Linked DNA regions of Drosophila melanogaster. The protein of the gene in region 1 purifies or fractionates together with the protein of each later gene. This does not show direct contact. Each region holds a gene or a part of one and is shown in the gene's direction. Other genes may lie near its edges.

Region 1 (9,554 bases):
TTATACATGTATATTATTTTAATAATTATTATTTTATTTAAAGAACAACAAAAACAATGTTTACGTATACAAAAGTATTTGCTAAAAATAAACATACAACATATATGAAATTAACCTGAATGTAATTTTTTTAAATTGTCTGGATTGTTTTAATTTCCTTCACAAAAAAATTTTAGTTTTCACAAAAAAGTCTAGTTTTAAATTTAGAAAAATTTATTTATTTAGTTTCAACTTCACATTTTTCTGTTTATACATTATGGGAACATTTCTAAAAACAACTTAAAATGTTATTTGTCCTATGTACTGTACATAAATTTGATATCAGTGTATTAAAGCTGTTCAATGAGCAGTTCGCAAGCTACAAATCTTTGGATGCCTTGGACACCAGCTTTGGCAGCTGCAGCATAAGTCCCATGTGCTGTAGTGGATTCGCCGAGGAGAGACTCGAGGTAGTGGATAGCGTTCCATTGACATTCTCCCTGGGATGCGGCTGCGCTGGGTGGGTTGATGAGGCTGACTGCTCGGAATGGAATATCTCGCCAAGCAGGTCGTACACACGTCGCTTGAAGTACAGCTTCTGGTGGAAGTTCATGTGCTTGATTTCGGGACGCAGTCCCTGCAGGAATGCGTCATCGAAATCCATGATTGGCAATGCTTCAATACAGCGGGTTGATGTCTGAAATAAGAAAATAACAAATCATAAATAAACGCTGTACAAATTAAATTTTGCACTTAATAGATTGTTACTTTGGGGAATTCAAGCAATGGCACTCTATATAAAGTAATTTCTCCCACCTTGGCCTCCTTCTCACTGCTGTCGCTCTCTGTGCGCATTTCTGCCGGGACCGTGTCCTCGAAATCCATGATTGATGATGGTTCATTATTAAATTGTGTTGCCTGAAGAATTAAAGGAAACTGCATCATTAAAATTATAAATGCAAATTTCAGCTTTGAAATAAAAACGGGCACACAGTATAAAACTAAGCTAATTTGCACAGCTTTAACTTTTGACCAAAAATATAGCATACATCATTTTTTTACTTTAAAGTATAGTTCATAACGCTAAACAAGGTTGTAATAATTTAAGGCCTCAGCAAAATGCATCTGAGTATTGCTCCCACCTCAACGTCCGTCGCCGATGCAGGGTCGGTGCTGTGACGGCTCTGCGCATGCTCCGAATTCAGAAAGCTCGGGGAGTGCACCATCTCGAGGATTGCCTCTACGGGAGTTTCGGGATCCCCTTCGTCGTGCTCCTCCTGTCCCTTGGGTCTTGACCTACGACCTCTGAGCGGAACGGGCACTCCGGGAGTGATGTGCTTTTGCAGGAACTTCAGCTCGCTGTTAAGATAGTACGTATTCGCACCGTGATGCAACTTTATTGAGCGGGCATAGCTGGAGCGAATGTTGCGCCAACGTTCCTTGCAGCTTTTAACTGAAATGATCAATAGCAGTCAATAAGATTGTAAGATAATATTATATAATATTTATATAATATAAATTGTAAGATTTTATAAGAGATTATATTTTATTTTATATTATGTATCGACATAGTAAAATCGTGCTTATAAAAATATAAACATCTCCTAATGAAATGTAAATTTAATAATTAAAGTAAATTTAGTTAATATGCAATATGTCGAAATATAGATAAAAACCCACCCGAATTTCGCATCTCATTGGATATTTCCTTCCACGCATTTTTCACAGTCGATTTCCGCAAGTAGTTGTCATCGTGACGATCGTAAAGACAAGGATGTAGTTTCACCAAATGACATATTTTGGCATTGATGGCGTAAACGTTCGGTGGTGGAGCTATGGACCGACGGCGTGTATTCATTTCATATATAAAAACTAAATATGCAAATTTAATTAATTAATATAATTAATAGAGTTAAAGTAGAAGACCCGAAATCGAATCTGAAACATGTGTCGCCTGACCGTGCAACAGCTGTTTGCCGCTACTTTGCTTCTCTGCTCCGCTTTCAACAACAGTTATTTTCTCTGAAACCAGATCTTTCGTTTAAACTTACGTGAATTAGGTTTAAAAATGCTCCAATTAATCGATGTCAGTGCTTTTATCACGAGTTTTGGCTTATTAAGTTCGGGCTCAAGCCGCTCGTTGCTTCCGTGCACGCGGCAGTTGTTGGCGTGGACGCCGGAGTTGCTGCTATTACAAGTGTTTAGCAACTTTGAACACTGCGATTTCGTGCTGCTGCCAACAAGTGATGCAGTTGTAAATGAATGTTGCAATTTCAAATAGCAATTGTTCTTGATTTTAAAGCACATGAGCACTAGACTGATTCGAATTGGACATTTGAATCTTTAACGGGCGGAGAATATAAAACACCGGCAAAATAAATAAAGAAAGGAGCCACAACAAACGGAAAGCCAGAGGCGTAGTCATTCTCTTCGCAAATCAGCGGGGGTTACCATTCGAGCAGCATACAACCCTCTCTGAGAGAGAATTGACATGCCACTGGATCTCACACATACAATGAAAGGCACACTCACTCAAAGTAGACAGCACTGCCAGACTTAATGCAATAGTATAGCAGTTGGTGTTGGCAGTGCCATTTGATCGCTGGAGGTGCTGCCAACGCATTTACCAATTAATTAATGACCACCCCTAAATGTTGTAAATTATAAAAATTATTCAAGAATATTACGATTTTGGTTAAATTAATGTACAAAATAAAATATTTCATATTTGTATTGGCTGTCAAATGAAGTTATTTTATTTTAAGATAAATGCTAACAAATCTTAGAGAAACTGGAAAACAAGGTTGAGCGGTTTTGAGAATTATGAACAACGCGTAAAAAACATTATTTATAAACGTAAAAAAATATTATAGTCTAGCCCGACAGGTAAAAAATAAATTTATCCGGGGCCACCTTGGTCAACCCTCGTCAACGACCGTTCGGCCTGCCAACTCGCTTTTCCCTGCAACGCAAGGCGCCGCTCTCTGCTCACACTCTCACTTGGCTGTGTGTGTGTGCTCAATACTCGCTTTTAGTTTTCGCTGCAGTCGGTCGCCGTTTTTAGTCTCAGCTGCTGCGCGCGTGTGTTGTGATTGTGTGAATTGCGTTTGCGTTTGTAGCATAACACAAAACCGATAAATTCCTGGCGAAGCGAGCTCTCTCGATTGGATTCTTGCAAAGTGAACTAGCGATGAGCGCCGCCTCTGAGGTGAACCTGATGTTGCTGCGGTCAGTGGAGAAGCAGACTGCGCTTTATGATCGTACCGACGAAAACTATAGGAAGCGCCTGCCGAGTGAGAACGCCTGGGACATGGTTGCCTCCGAAGTTGGAGAGTCGGGTGAGTCGTGAGTGCGAGCGGGATAGCAATCGACGTTGCGTAGTTTTCTGCCAGTGCTGCACAGCGTCAACGCGCGCACAACAGTCAGTCGTCCCCGAATTATCGGCCGTCGATAGTTGTGTGCGAGTTGGCAGCGCCATGTATGCCATCACAAAGCAGCTGGCATCGATTAATTCGAATATAACGAGTCTCCTGTTGAATGCGTAGTCGTTTGGGATGAAATTGCTTCTTGCTGTGACATAATTTTTGTAAATAGCTGGAAAGTAATTTATATTAGTTATTTGGCAACTGCAATAATTGCATGGTAAAAACTAAACAAAGTTATTTCGTTTGTTGTTATTATTATTTTTTTAATTTAACATTTTATAATTTATAATTCTCCAACAAGCTTGTTATTTCATATTAAAAAAATGTCTTATTTGAATATTACATTATTTTAGAAGGATTTAAAAATAAATAAATTAAATACAGAAAAACCAAAATATGACAAATAATAATATCTAGTCTATTCAGTAGCCAAATCCATTTCATTTAATTCTTATTAGCTTTATAAATTTTTTTTAAATGATTTGAATCCTTCTGCACGTTTTGGTAACACTGGTAACACTAATCGCCCATTAGCTGAGTAAAATTTAACCTTAGAAAATTGGTATATTGTATTATATTGGTATATTATGAGTGGGTAGTTCCATTTATCCATGCATCTCTGATTTTGTTGTCGGTGTATATCGATTGACCCATATATATTTCCCTGGAAAGATCTTTTGGCCAAACTTTTCGAGCAGTACAATATAAGTTGGCTCTTTTTCATTTGAGAACTGAAAAAATATTGCCAATGATGGGGGACTTCTTATTCGAGAATTCTTGCTGTAAGTTTTATTTATATATCGCAAAAGAAAGAAAAATCCTTTTTAGTGTACATATGTACATACACACGTGCATGTACATATTTAAGTATGATTCTCAATTTGATTGCGATTATTTCCACGTGGTTTCTGACACCTTTTACTAAACTTTACACGATTCCTTAACACAACTATTTTTTAAGTAATGTGTTTGGATATCAGATAAAGGGTGTTTCAGCAATGTCTACAGGTTTTGTTAACTAACAAATTAAAACGTATCTTAGAAGTTTGGGCGTCGGAAACCTGCACGCCTTATAAATATGTATGATATGTACATCCATGTACGTTCCCATGTATGTATGTCGGAAATCTGCATATATATATATTTATATAAATATATATGGTCATGTATGGTCATGCAGATAAATGGACGCTTCTAATTTGTATACCCCTTACTCGTAGATTTAAAGGGTATACGTTGGAAGGGATTCGTTGCAAAGTATGTATGCAACTGGTATGAAGGTCGATCTCAGGAACTATAGAAACAAAAAGGTTCAAATTAAACATATAGATTAAAGGGACTTAGACGCAGCGAAAGTTTGTTTTTTCATAATTTTTAATTAGTTTTGTAAATTTATATTGACTTTTTGAACAGTTTTTTTAAAATTTTCTCATTTGACTCCCCAATATCTATCTATATGCCATATCTATATGCATTATAAAGCTTCCCACTTCCATTATTCATTCTCTTATTATTTGTTTTTGTGGTGATTTATTGCACTGTAAATTAATTTTTTGCAAAAATGCTTTGTCTTAAAAATATAAAGTAATTTCCTACAATTTTTCTTGTATATGTTATAGCTGATATTATTTTATCACTTTAAAAAATTGTTATGTTTGGCTAGAAAAAAGCTTATTTTTTATGACCCGATTTTTATTTGAACTATCCTTATGCAAGGACAAGAATTGAAATGGCACCGAACACAAAATTTCATGTGTCAGTTTTGTCAGATTTTGGCCGCGGTAATTGAAAATAACCTTCCGCAGCGTAGTTAGTTACATACTGTTACAAACCATATTAATCGGCGAGTATAAAGGCAGATAACTAAGAAGCAGTTTTGGCACGTAGAAGCTAAGAATTTCTTGTCTATTACTCCAAATCAATTTTGCCACTTCCTCCAATGGAAAGAGCCATACGAATTTGATCAATTAAAAAATAATATGGAAATATCTAATACCGAAGACCATATTTAGACCATTAAGACCATTAATTAGCTAATCATTTTCCGACTGTTGGTATTGAAAATATAGTTTTTCGATTTTAATAAATGTAATCCAAAATTTATATATATTTCCAAGATCTAGTGTATTCTTATTAAAAACAAGTAATGTGCCATCCGGGTTGTAGGACCCGTGATTCAGGGTTCGCGGTGCGTACTGGATGCCCCGATTTTGTGACTAGCAGTTACACACTGCAGTGCTTTTATTTTTATTTTTAAAAATTTACATACATGTATAGCTTAATTATTAAATACTGCTACCTTCAGGCAGCTAAAAAATTATATATAAACTGCAGTGCATGTACTCGCCACCGAATACTCATTTATACTCATTTAGATATTCATACATAGCATACTTTCAAGCGAAACTTGCATTTACGGAACCATGTACAATGTTGGTTTTTTGAAATTAAAAATAATTTAACTAGTGTCTCTTCCCATTATTAATAAGCATTCCTGAGCTCTTATTACCTGTTCATGTAAAATGCACACAAAGTTTTATGAGCTAAGATTAAAGTGGAATTTTCCGGGCAATCAGGGGGTGTTATGCTATTGAGAAGTAAAGGTTGGGCCGCTACCTGTTGCCTGATATATATTACGTATCATATCTTCTTACCTAGCCTTATCATTTCCCTCTTGTTCCCTCTTGCAGTGGAAAAATGCAAGCGACGCTGGCGTCAGCTGCGAAATGACTATACCCGCTGGTGCAACGCCGACGCCAACCGGCGACGAAATGGCCAGCGTCGTTTGGCTTATCCGCTGGCCGATGAGCTGCGCTTTTTGGACCGCCATCTAAACATAGCTGACGACATGGCTGCCGACGATGACCGCAGCGTATCATCGGACAAGGACAGGGATAACAATAGAGACAGCGAGGGCGTGGATCATCATGCTCAGGCGTCATTAAAAGAACGCGCATCATCGACAAGCAAGTTAGTTAAGGAGGTCAAGCTGGCAAGTCAAGTTCGTAAGGAAAAATCGTCCCAAGACAAGAGAGAAAATTGGGAAAATCCTGGAGATAAACAGCGATCTAGGAAGAAAAGTGCTGAAGAGAAGCTGAATGATTTGGAGGAATCGGACGAACCAGAGAAGGTTCCTGAACTCGATAGTTTTCTGCAGTCTGATAATGAAGACGACGAGTGCATGGACGAGGAGCACCTAGAAGATCTGGAAGGTTTCGATTTTGACTTGGAACAATCGAATCAGGAAAAGGAGTTAACGCCGGAGAAGTCTCTAGAGAAGAATAACACCGACTCAACTGTTAGCCAGCCGGAGTTCTTTGTCAAGCAAACCAGAGATCCTCGTTTGCTAATTATTGGCAGAAAGAATTCGACGTCTTCGTTTGCTGAATCCAAGGCTTCAAAATCTATTTCCGGGGATCCTCTGGAAACGGCTATGGAAGATAGTGGCGATGAATATGGTAGGGATGGTGAAAAACGCGTCACAGGCAGCGACACTACTTCTCCAACCCGACGTCCACGTCGCGCAGCCCGTGCATCAATAAGTTTCGCTGGCATAAGGGATTTACCGATCCAGAAACCAGGCCAAGCACAACGAATGACGCGATTGCAGCGCAGGAAATCTATGAGTTTAGCGGCTGTACACAGTGTAAGGAGCTCCACATCGCCTGTGAAAATGACTCCAGTCCCCAGGTCTCAGCCGATCAACAAGCCGCCATCCGGGCCAGTCCAGATCACGAAAATCAGTCATCGGGATGACATCTTCCCGAGACCTGCGGTGCCATCTGGAGTTGTGAATATAAATCAAAACCAACTCAAGACTCAACAACAGCAGAAGACGCTGATCTTTCCGACGACCGATGAAGCGATCGCTAACCCGCAGGGATCTGGTCCACCACAAAGGAGGTCCGTGGGTAGGCCGCCCAAGAAGCTACCTATGGTGCAGCGAATAGTTGCGCCGGAAACGCAGACCAAGCCACAGTCGCCCATAAACACCAAAGTCCTGACCATTGGCAAGCCCACCAGCTCCGTCGCGAGTGGTAACATAAATAATATTGCTATCAAAAGCAACGTCGTTACTAGCATAAGCAGCAGCACCGCTACTACTAATACCATTACCAAAGGTACCAGTAACAACAGCATCAAAACTACTGAAAACGTTAATGTAATAAGCTACAGTCCGAATTCATCTAGCACCAGCAGCAGCAGCAAGGCCACCACTGGTGCCTCTGGTGCGGTGATAACTAATATACCCACAACCACCACAGCTGGAACATCCGTTCCGGTCGGAAAGAGTATAACCCAATTGAAAATGACTGAGCGAGGCACTCAAACCGGAGTCCAGAATCCTTTCTCCGATAATTACTTTCTCGAAATGATCAAGCCCCAGATGCAGGAAATGAACCCCCGTCAGAAGATGCACTTTAAGAAGAAAGTATTCCAAGCGCTGATGGAAACCTTTGATGATGCTACCGATTTCCCAACGTCTAAAGAACTGCAGCATTTTAATATAAACACTCCTTCAGGATTTGAGCACATTACAGATCCGGAACTTCGATTGGTCAGGGAGCTAGTCAGCATGGTGAGCGCGGCTAAGGTTACCCTAATTAGACCGCCAGGAGAAGCTACAGCTATAGCTACAGCTTCCCGCAGTGGAATTGCTCCTGAGGTACAGCGAGGACCCCGAACAAATATGACACGCCAAGTCATTCAGAGGGTATACAAGCCAGGCACTGGACAAGAGATCGCCCCCACCAGCCCGGCGGGTGGACTAGATAAGAGGTTGTTCAGGTTAGCGGCTATGGGTGGTAAACCGAATGGCAACTTGAGTGCCACTCAGGAAATTTTGCGCAAGGATAGTGTTGACAGTAACCATAGTGTGGTCAAGGTGGCCAACCACGCCCCAACAGGCAGTCCCAAAGGAGCTGCTGTAGTGGCTGCTATAAGGCCGCAGGGTTCATTGATCAACAGTTTCTTTGGACAAGGCAATGGACCGACGACGGCCAAGGGAGCTGCCTCCGAGAATATCCGCGCCATGTCCAGGAGGTATTCCGTGTGCGGTAGCAGCAATCCACCCAATGCCCAAAACGCTAGCCAAGGTTCCGCCAATGGCAGCACCATAAACTCCAATGCTAGCGCTATGGAAGCGTCTATGCTTAAGCGGCGATTGATAGCAGCTGGGCATGGAATGGTGCCACCTACCCAACGCCCTCGGTATTCTGCCGTAGGTGCTAGTCAAATGACCACTGCATCGCAAGGCAGCAGTTTACTAGTGAGGAAGTCTGTGGGCTGCGTTCCTGCTTACCAAAAGCAAATCTCACCCACTGGCGGTGCCTCCCTGCTTCAGAAAACTCCGCAGATTGCCAGTGTGCAAGGATCTGCCTTCAATGACTTTGCCCAGCCCAAGCCCGCTGCAACGGCCTCTGTAAACGGCGAAGAAAGTTCGCCTACCTCGGCGCTGAAGCGCAGCTTGGTGGTGGCTAATACCAAAACCTCCTTTCAGGACCTTCTTCAGCAGGCCAGTCAGACGGTGCAGAGAAATAAAATTGAATCCTCGGAGACAGCAGCCACTATTGCTGCGGATGATTTTTCGCTGGACAACCTTAAGCGAGAGCCAGTGGATCCCGCGGAGGATCACAATGACATACTCGGTGTTTAAGACCAGGCCAAAGAAATTTCCGAGTATTGATTAAAGAGTAAAGAATTAAGACAGATTCATTAAATCGTAAATAACACGTTGAAAAATTGTTAAGCTATCTAATGCACTTATAATGTTGCGTTAAACATTTTTTATAGTTCCCTATAATTTTAAGAATTTCGAATTTTTTTTTTTTGGAAAAAGTTTTTAACTTTTTCTATTTTGTTCATAATTTTTTAGACGATAGAAAACCGACAGTTTTGTTCAAAATTTGCACAAGAAAAATGATTAATGAGAAATCGAATCTTAACTTTATTTCACATTTTCTAGTTATATATATCGAATAAAAATTGCCCTTATAAGTTAAACAAAAAGGACAACTGAAAAAATATTTAAATATGTTTTTATGGAAATATATTTCTATACATAGTTAGGTCAAAGTCACTAGAATATTATTCTAATGTCTTTGGTTAGGTAGTGAAATATATTGCAGTACATTTATGCGAAACAACCAT
Region 2 (6,885 bases), on another chromosome or scaffold:
CACAAGGAATGGGAAGAGGACGAGAAGAAGCACCACGAGGTGGAAGACCACGAGCACCACCACGGCGACAAGGGATCGAAGAAGAAGAAACACTACGATGAGAAGGATGAGCATGGTGAGAAGCATGAACACGGCGCTCACAAGAAGGGCGGCAAACATCATCACAAAAAGAAGCACAAGAAGGGTCACAAGGAATTAGAATACCACAAGAAGTTCAAAAAGGACGAGTACATCAAGGAGAAGAAGTTCTACGATGATGAGCACAAGGGCGGACATCATAAGAAGTATGGAAAGGAGCACCATCATCATGCCGAGGAGCACGGCGAGCACAAGAAGGGCGAAAAGCACGAGGGCGGCAAAAAGAAGGGTCACAAGAAGCACCACGGACACTACAAGAAGGGTCACCACGACGAGGACCACAAGAAGTACAAGAAGGAGCACAAGTACGGCGACAGCTTCGAGGAGAAGAAGGAGCACGGCGAGAAGGGCTCCAAGAAGCACGGCCACAAGCACTACAAAAAGAAGGGCGGCAAGCATTGAGCAAGCTATATTATACATGTGATCTTTATGTGAAATGCAGAATTAAAACTGGGAGAGGTTCTAGAATATTATACTGTCTTGTGTTTTATTCAATAAGCTGTTAAAACTTAATCTGCTAAAAGCTAGTTTTGATACTTACAATGTTTCAAATAATATAGCACACTATAATATATTTAAATGTATTAGTATATTAGTATATACATATATAAGGTAGCTTAAATTGTTACGTTTTTTGAAAAGCCTGATAGCTAATCACGACGATTTATCCCATTTCATTTCCAGAAGCAACTCATTCAGCAGATCTCGGAGCACATCGCGACGCAGGCGCACTCGCTCCAAGTCCGGAACTCGATCCCGCAGTCGCTCCGCCGGCTCGGTGGGCCGTCGCTCCGGCCGCTCGAACGGACGGGACGAGAACGGATCGGCGTCGAGGTACAGCGACCACGAGCGCAACGGCAGTGGAGCGGTAGATTCACCGCCGCCGCCAAAACGGCGCTATGAGGATGAGGACGATGACCGGGTTAGGGGATCGCCGCGGTCGCGTTCCCGATCTCGATCGGCGTCGCCAGCGGTGCGCCGTGGATCGCCGCCCAGGCGTCGTGGTGACTCGTCCGCCTCACGATCCGTTTCAAGGGACTAGCGACAGCGAACGGATGCAGACGGAGCCCGACATGCGATGATGAGGGCCGGAGCTGCAACCCCCCGATGAATCCGGCGAGATGGGCTCTCCACGCACTGGACTCTAATCCTCATTCCCAAAAGAAACAACCTCACGTGTAACAAGACAGATTCCCAAATACTTTTTCATGCAGTATCCATCTAAGGTTTTTAGTTGTCCAAAACCATATTAGTTAAGGGTTTTAATTTATAGTGGAACTCGAGTTTGCATATTTAGGTATTCTAATGTTCCAACACAACAACAAATACAAGCACACGCAGAACAAAGGAGAGCGCTTCGGAAAATCATTTGACGGAAGGAAATTTAAGATATAGAAATGTATCGGCAGCCGCAGATTAACGATCTAGTCAGGATTGCTATGTAAATTGATTTGCCTTGGATTTTATTTTGCTTACCCTGGAATTATACTCGAATGTGCAGAGGACGAAGCATCGCCACCATTTTCATGTCAATTTTACACAATTTTCAATTTATGCAACACAACAACTTGATTATTTGACTCCAATCTCTGTATGATGTGTTTCTATATTCGTAATAATTAAGTATTGCAACAGTGCATAATAATTATTCATACATTGATGTCATAGTTAAGTATTAAAAAAATACATATGTATGGATTCTTGAGATGTGTGTTTGAATTATGTAGCAAATGCGCTGAACACTAAAATACAGATATTCAATCAATAAATTAAATGCCAAAATTAGTTGTTTTCCATTTGAATTTGGCGGGCTTTATGCGGTCTTGAACAAGTCTGGTCACTCAGTTTAGAAGTAGGTGCGCATTATTTAAATTGGTATTTTTGCCAGATGTTTAGTATTTTGTTTGTTTGGTAACTCTGCACTTCCAGTTACTTAGTATTTTTTCAGTCAGAGCTGGTATTTTATTGCGCATCGGGTACGGCCACATTATTAGACTAGCATTCCTCCAGTTAAATTTTGTTTTGTGTTTTGTTTTGCATTTTTTTTAACTATTGCCTTTACTTTACTGCCGCCGGCTTCCATACAAATAGTTCTGAAATCAGAAATAACGAACAGAATCGTCTTTCAACGTGGTCAGCTGGACAGCTACAGCAACAATGGCATTCCGCCAGTCGGAGCACGAGATGAGCGTCACCTCACTCGATTCAAGCGTCGAACTGAGATCGCGTTCGCCATCGCCGCAGGTCTTCAATCCGCGCAAGCTCCGCTTCGCCGATGATGACTTTGACAAGGACACGCCCGAGGGAGCGAGTCCGCAGCATCCCCTTCAGCAGCGGCCGAAGCTATCCTCCGGTGAGGAGCAGCAGCTGGACAGTAAGATAGGCAAAGAAGGCGGCGACGGGGACGTGTCCATGTCGCCGCCATGCCAAAAGGTGCGGGCCCTGCGACTCTTTAGCACACCGGCCACTCCAAAGACCATCCTGCAGAAGTCGACGACGCAGTGCAGCAACCATCTGTCGGCGGCAGCAGCGGCAGTGAATGCCTCCAGGCGCAGCGACGACCTCTTCCGCCTGTCAGAGCGCCCGCGATCTCTGCCACTGCACAACCGCAAACTGCCCACCCAGGACACGGCAAATGTGAACCCCTTCACGCCAGATAGTAAGTTTAAAACGTTTCTCGCTTTTGATATTTTAATTAAATAAAGGTATCAATTTCCAGTTCGTTGCTTTAATTTGCACTCCACTTTAACCCATCCCAGCTTAGTCTTATTAGCAATCTAATAATCATTTTTTTTATTTTTAGGCCTCATGGCTCACAATAAGAAGCGCTGTCGCACGCAATTCGGACGCGAAAACCTCAACCTGAACGTGAATGCTATGCAAAAGTATTTGCTCAGTGATGCCTGCGACGACGATGTGACGGAGGAGGCGGGCGACTCGATGCGCGAAATCCACCAGCAGGCACCCAAGCGGCTGGCCCTGCACGACACGAACATCAGTCGCTTCAAGCGGGAGTTCATGCAAGTCAACGTAATCGGCGTTGGCGAGTTCGGTGTGGTGTTCCAATGCGTCAATCGACTAGATGGCTGCATATATGCGATTAAAAAGAGTAAGAAGCCGGTGGCAGGCAGTTCTTTCGAGTGAGTATTCATTAGTTATTGCAACGAGCGTCGTTTAACAATCTATTTGCTTGCAGAAAGAGAGCCCTGAACGAGGTCTGGGCCCATGCTGTATTGGGCAAGCACGATAACGTGGTTAGATACTATTCCGCGTGGGCGGAGGACGATCATATGCTGATACAGAATGAATTCTGCGATGGTGGCAGCTTGCACGCGCGCATCCAAGATCATTGTTTGGGTGAGGCAGAGCTAAAGATTGTTCTCATGCATGTGATAGAGGGCCTACGCTATATTCATTCAAATGACCTGGTGCACATGGATCTGAAGCCCGAAAACATATTCTCCACCATGAATCCCAATGCACACAAGCTGGTGGAGGTGCAGCCGCAGCAGACCAAAGATGACGATGGCATGGACAGCGTCTATGAAGAACTGCGCCATTCAGAGAATCTGGTTACGTACAAGATCGGCGACCTGGGACACGTGACCTCCGTTAAGGAACCCTACGTCGAGGAGGGAGACTGTCGTTACCTGCCCAAGGAGATCCTTCACGAGGATTATTCGAATCTCTTCAAGGCCGACATATTTTCCCTGGGCATCACGCTGTTCGAGGCGGCCGGCGGTGGTCCGCTGCCTAAAAATGGACCCGAATGGCACAACTTGCGAGATGGCAAGGTGCCGATTCTGCCGAGCCTGAGCAGGGATTTTAACGAGCTCATAGCCCAGATGATGCATCCTTATCCCGACAAGAGGCCCACTTCGCAGTCTATATTCAGTCATCCGTAAGTAAATTGAGTCGACAGTATAAGCGACAATCATATTTAGTTGCATTTAAGATAAATGTGCTCACACTAAATACATATAATGTTCGTTTAATTTGCAGAATTCTGAGTGCTGTTGACTCCAAGAGCAAGCTGCAGCTCGGCCTGGAGCTGACCGTGGAGAAGCGCAAGAACGAGATACTGATGAACAAGCTGAGAGAGGCCAAAAAACAGATTAAACTGCTCGAGCAACGAGGTAAGATAAGATAAATAGTTGTATAACAACTTAAACTTTAAGGTGGTTGGTTATCTGGATGTTTACAATTTCTAACGTTTCTGCAACTCATTTTAGTCAATCTTCTTGCGGTGACTAACAATCCGGACAGTCTGGATGGACAGCGTTGCCTTCGCAGCTTCACGCGACGCATGCGCACGCCATTCTCCAGCCATGGCAAGTTCGACAGCATATCCGATCGCAACAAGAACGTTATCACCAATATCTGATAAGCTCGCAACAGATGCCGAACCGATAGCTAAACTCTTCCGAATCGAACGTGAACTAAGCTCACATTGTGTTACCTTTTAAGCGTATTCATATAATCGATACATATTTCTAACTATTCGCTTTCGTTTAAGCTCATGGATTTTGAAGCATTCGTAAATATAATCTATATATTTTTCAAGCTCAGTGAACTTTTCCCTGTTAAGAAAGCACAATCGTTTTAAGAAAAGCCCCTTGTAAACTTTAAGATTCTCGCATAGTTGTAATGAGTATTGTTTTCGAAATTAAAATATTTATTATGTTACATGGAAATCGAAATAATAACATTCCATTCGTTAAATATAGCGAATGCTATTCCATAAAAACTACTGGATTTATTATGACTCCGGATTTAAAACAAAATGTTTGCGAAGTTTTTCTTAAATTCAATTGTTTACTCCACTAGAAATTGTTTTGATATTATCCAATTTCCTGTCAAATTATGTTCCATTTTCCTTATCTGAAAATAACAATCGTCTCATTTTTTTGTATTATCCAGCTAGTTTGCTTTTTTTACGCAATCAATGGAAAGAGAAATGATCATTATTGTAATTTGACTTATTTTCTTTGAGGCACTAAGACTAGATGTTGGCTGTAAGCTGCTTTGATAGAAATGCAATGGGTATTTCATTTAAAGAACAAACTCAGAACTTGGCATGAGTTTGTTTGGAAATCCTTAATCAGTATATTTTCTTCATTAAAAAATAATGTAAATTAATATGGATTACACTTTTGTTATGCGCTACATATTATATTGTTTGTATGATACACCTAAAACCGTCTATAATTCTGATTCTGTTGCCTGCTGCCGCCTTGTTGCTGGTAGTTGTTGTTCCTTGGACCATTATAGTTGTTAAAGTTGCGCTGCTGCTGATTCGAATTGTCCTGGTTGAATCTCTGATTGTGGCCATATTGCTGCTGCTGTCGGTTATTGTAGTTGTTTTGATAGCCGCCACCCTGGTGCTGATTGTAGTTATTGTTGTAGTTGTAGTTATAGTTTCGGCTATTGTTCTGATAGCTCTGTCCTTGGTTTCCGCCTATTCCCTGGCCGTAGCCGCCTCCTTGCCCGTAGCCTCCTCCTCCACCTCCATTGCCACCGCCACCCTGTTGGTTCCTTATGCCAGCGTTCAGCATGCGGTGACCACTATCCGGAACGTAGGCCCTGGTCAAGTGGCTATTAAAACCGATGACGGGACGATGCTTGTTACCAGACTGCTCATTTGGCAGCACCTGTGGCGGATCTACGGCGTTTTCGAGGCGCTTCGCTTCGAAAATGTAGTCTTCATCGTATTCCGGATCCCTGAACGTGGTCGTCACGGTTATATTGTCATTAATGTCCGATAGCCCGGAAATCGGCGACTTAAGAACGCCGCTGATGGCAGTGTTTAGTTCGGTTTTTCCCAAAGTGCCGCGCATACCGTCAAATGAGATGGCTTTGCAAACGCTCTCATCATCCTTTTCGCTGATTTTCTTCACCTTTTTGTAGTGCGGACTCTGATTGCTGATGTACAGGTAATTGTCTCCACGCTTGTTTCGCTTCACCTCCTCTCCAGTAAGTTGATCATAGTAGGGAACCAAAGCCTTGAAGAGACGCTTCTCATCGACGAACGGCAGCAGAGCCACTCCCTGCCAGGCGAACTTCTTGCCATTCAGATCGATCTTAAAGTCCTCCGGATAGAAGTCAATGATCGGTGACTCCGGATCGGACATGAGCTTGGCCCACGGCTCGGGCACGTGTGAACTACTGGCTGCCGGAAAGACGCCCATCAGTTGCTCGAGCGGATTAAACGGCTTTGTGCCCTTTTCGAACATCGTGGACAGTCCCTGGATGTTGACAAAATCCGATGCGAAGGGTGCATAATGGTATGGGAAGTACCAGTTCCAGGAGGCACAGCCCTGATAGTAGTACTTAAGAACCCAGCACAATCCTCGGACATACTGCAGGGCTACAGCGTATCGGAACTGCTGGTTACCCGGTGCCACGTCAAACTTGGATTCGTAGTAGCGGTCCTTGAAGCCATCCTCCCACAATCGCACCTCGTCGTTATTCTCCTCCTCATCTTCGTCATCCAAATTGGCCATGTCACTCGTCCGTTTTCTATTACGAAGTGCCGCGGCCTCCTCCTTGTAGTTGCCGACGCTCCTTTGCTGGCTGTTTGGACCCACGGCGCTGGCGCCAAAAGCAGACTGATTCAAGGATCCGTGGTCCTGATTCCTTTCCTGCCTCTTGCGCGCCTTGTCCCTGGCCTTGAACTGCTCCTCGCGTCGCTGTCGGCTCTTGAAGATCTGGTCCTCGGCATTGCCCAAGTCGGTCATAATCAGCTGC

Evidence for each region.
Region 2: the proteins of stwl (region 1) and Wee1 purify together in Drosophila melanogaster (affinity purification with western blotting; one study listed by BioGRID). This does not show direct contact.

The regions. Positions count from the first base shown.
Region 1 is NT_037436.4:14,403,378-14,412,931, reverse strand, and holds the start of stwl (stonewall), read left to right. Parts: upstream 1-2,992; 5' UTR 2,993-3,169; coding exon 3,170-3,317; intron 3,318-4,085; exon of another isoform or gene 4,086-4,152; coding exon of another isoform or gene 4,153-4,186; intron 4,187-6,094; coding exon 6,095-9,060; 3' UTR 9,061-9,554. Other genes in the region: CG3919 (uncharacterized protein), read right to left, coding at 359-676, 748-897, 1,122-1,432, 1,660-1,837.
Region 2 is NT_033779.5:6,909,338-6,916,222, reverse strand, and holds Wee1 (Wee1 kinase), read left to right. Parts: upstream 1-2,084; 5' UTR 2,085-2,295; coding exon 2,296-2,797; intron 2,798-2,941; coding exon 2,942-3,278; intron 3,279-3,334; coding exon 3,335-4,039; intron 4,040-4,140; coding exon 4,141-4,274; intron 4,275-4,370; coding exon 4,371-4,522; 3' UTR 4,523-5,133; downstream 5,134-6,885. Other genes in the region: CG32829 (uncharacterized protein), read left to right, coding at 1-540; x16 splicing factor, read left to right, coding at 823-1,180; Rat1 5'-3' exoribonuclease, read right to left, coding at 5,331-6,885. UniProt on the Drosophila melanogaster protein: Acts as a negative regulator of entry into mitosis (G2 to M transition). This kinase specifically phosphorylates and inactivates cyclin B1-complexed CDC2.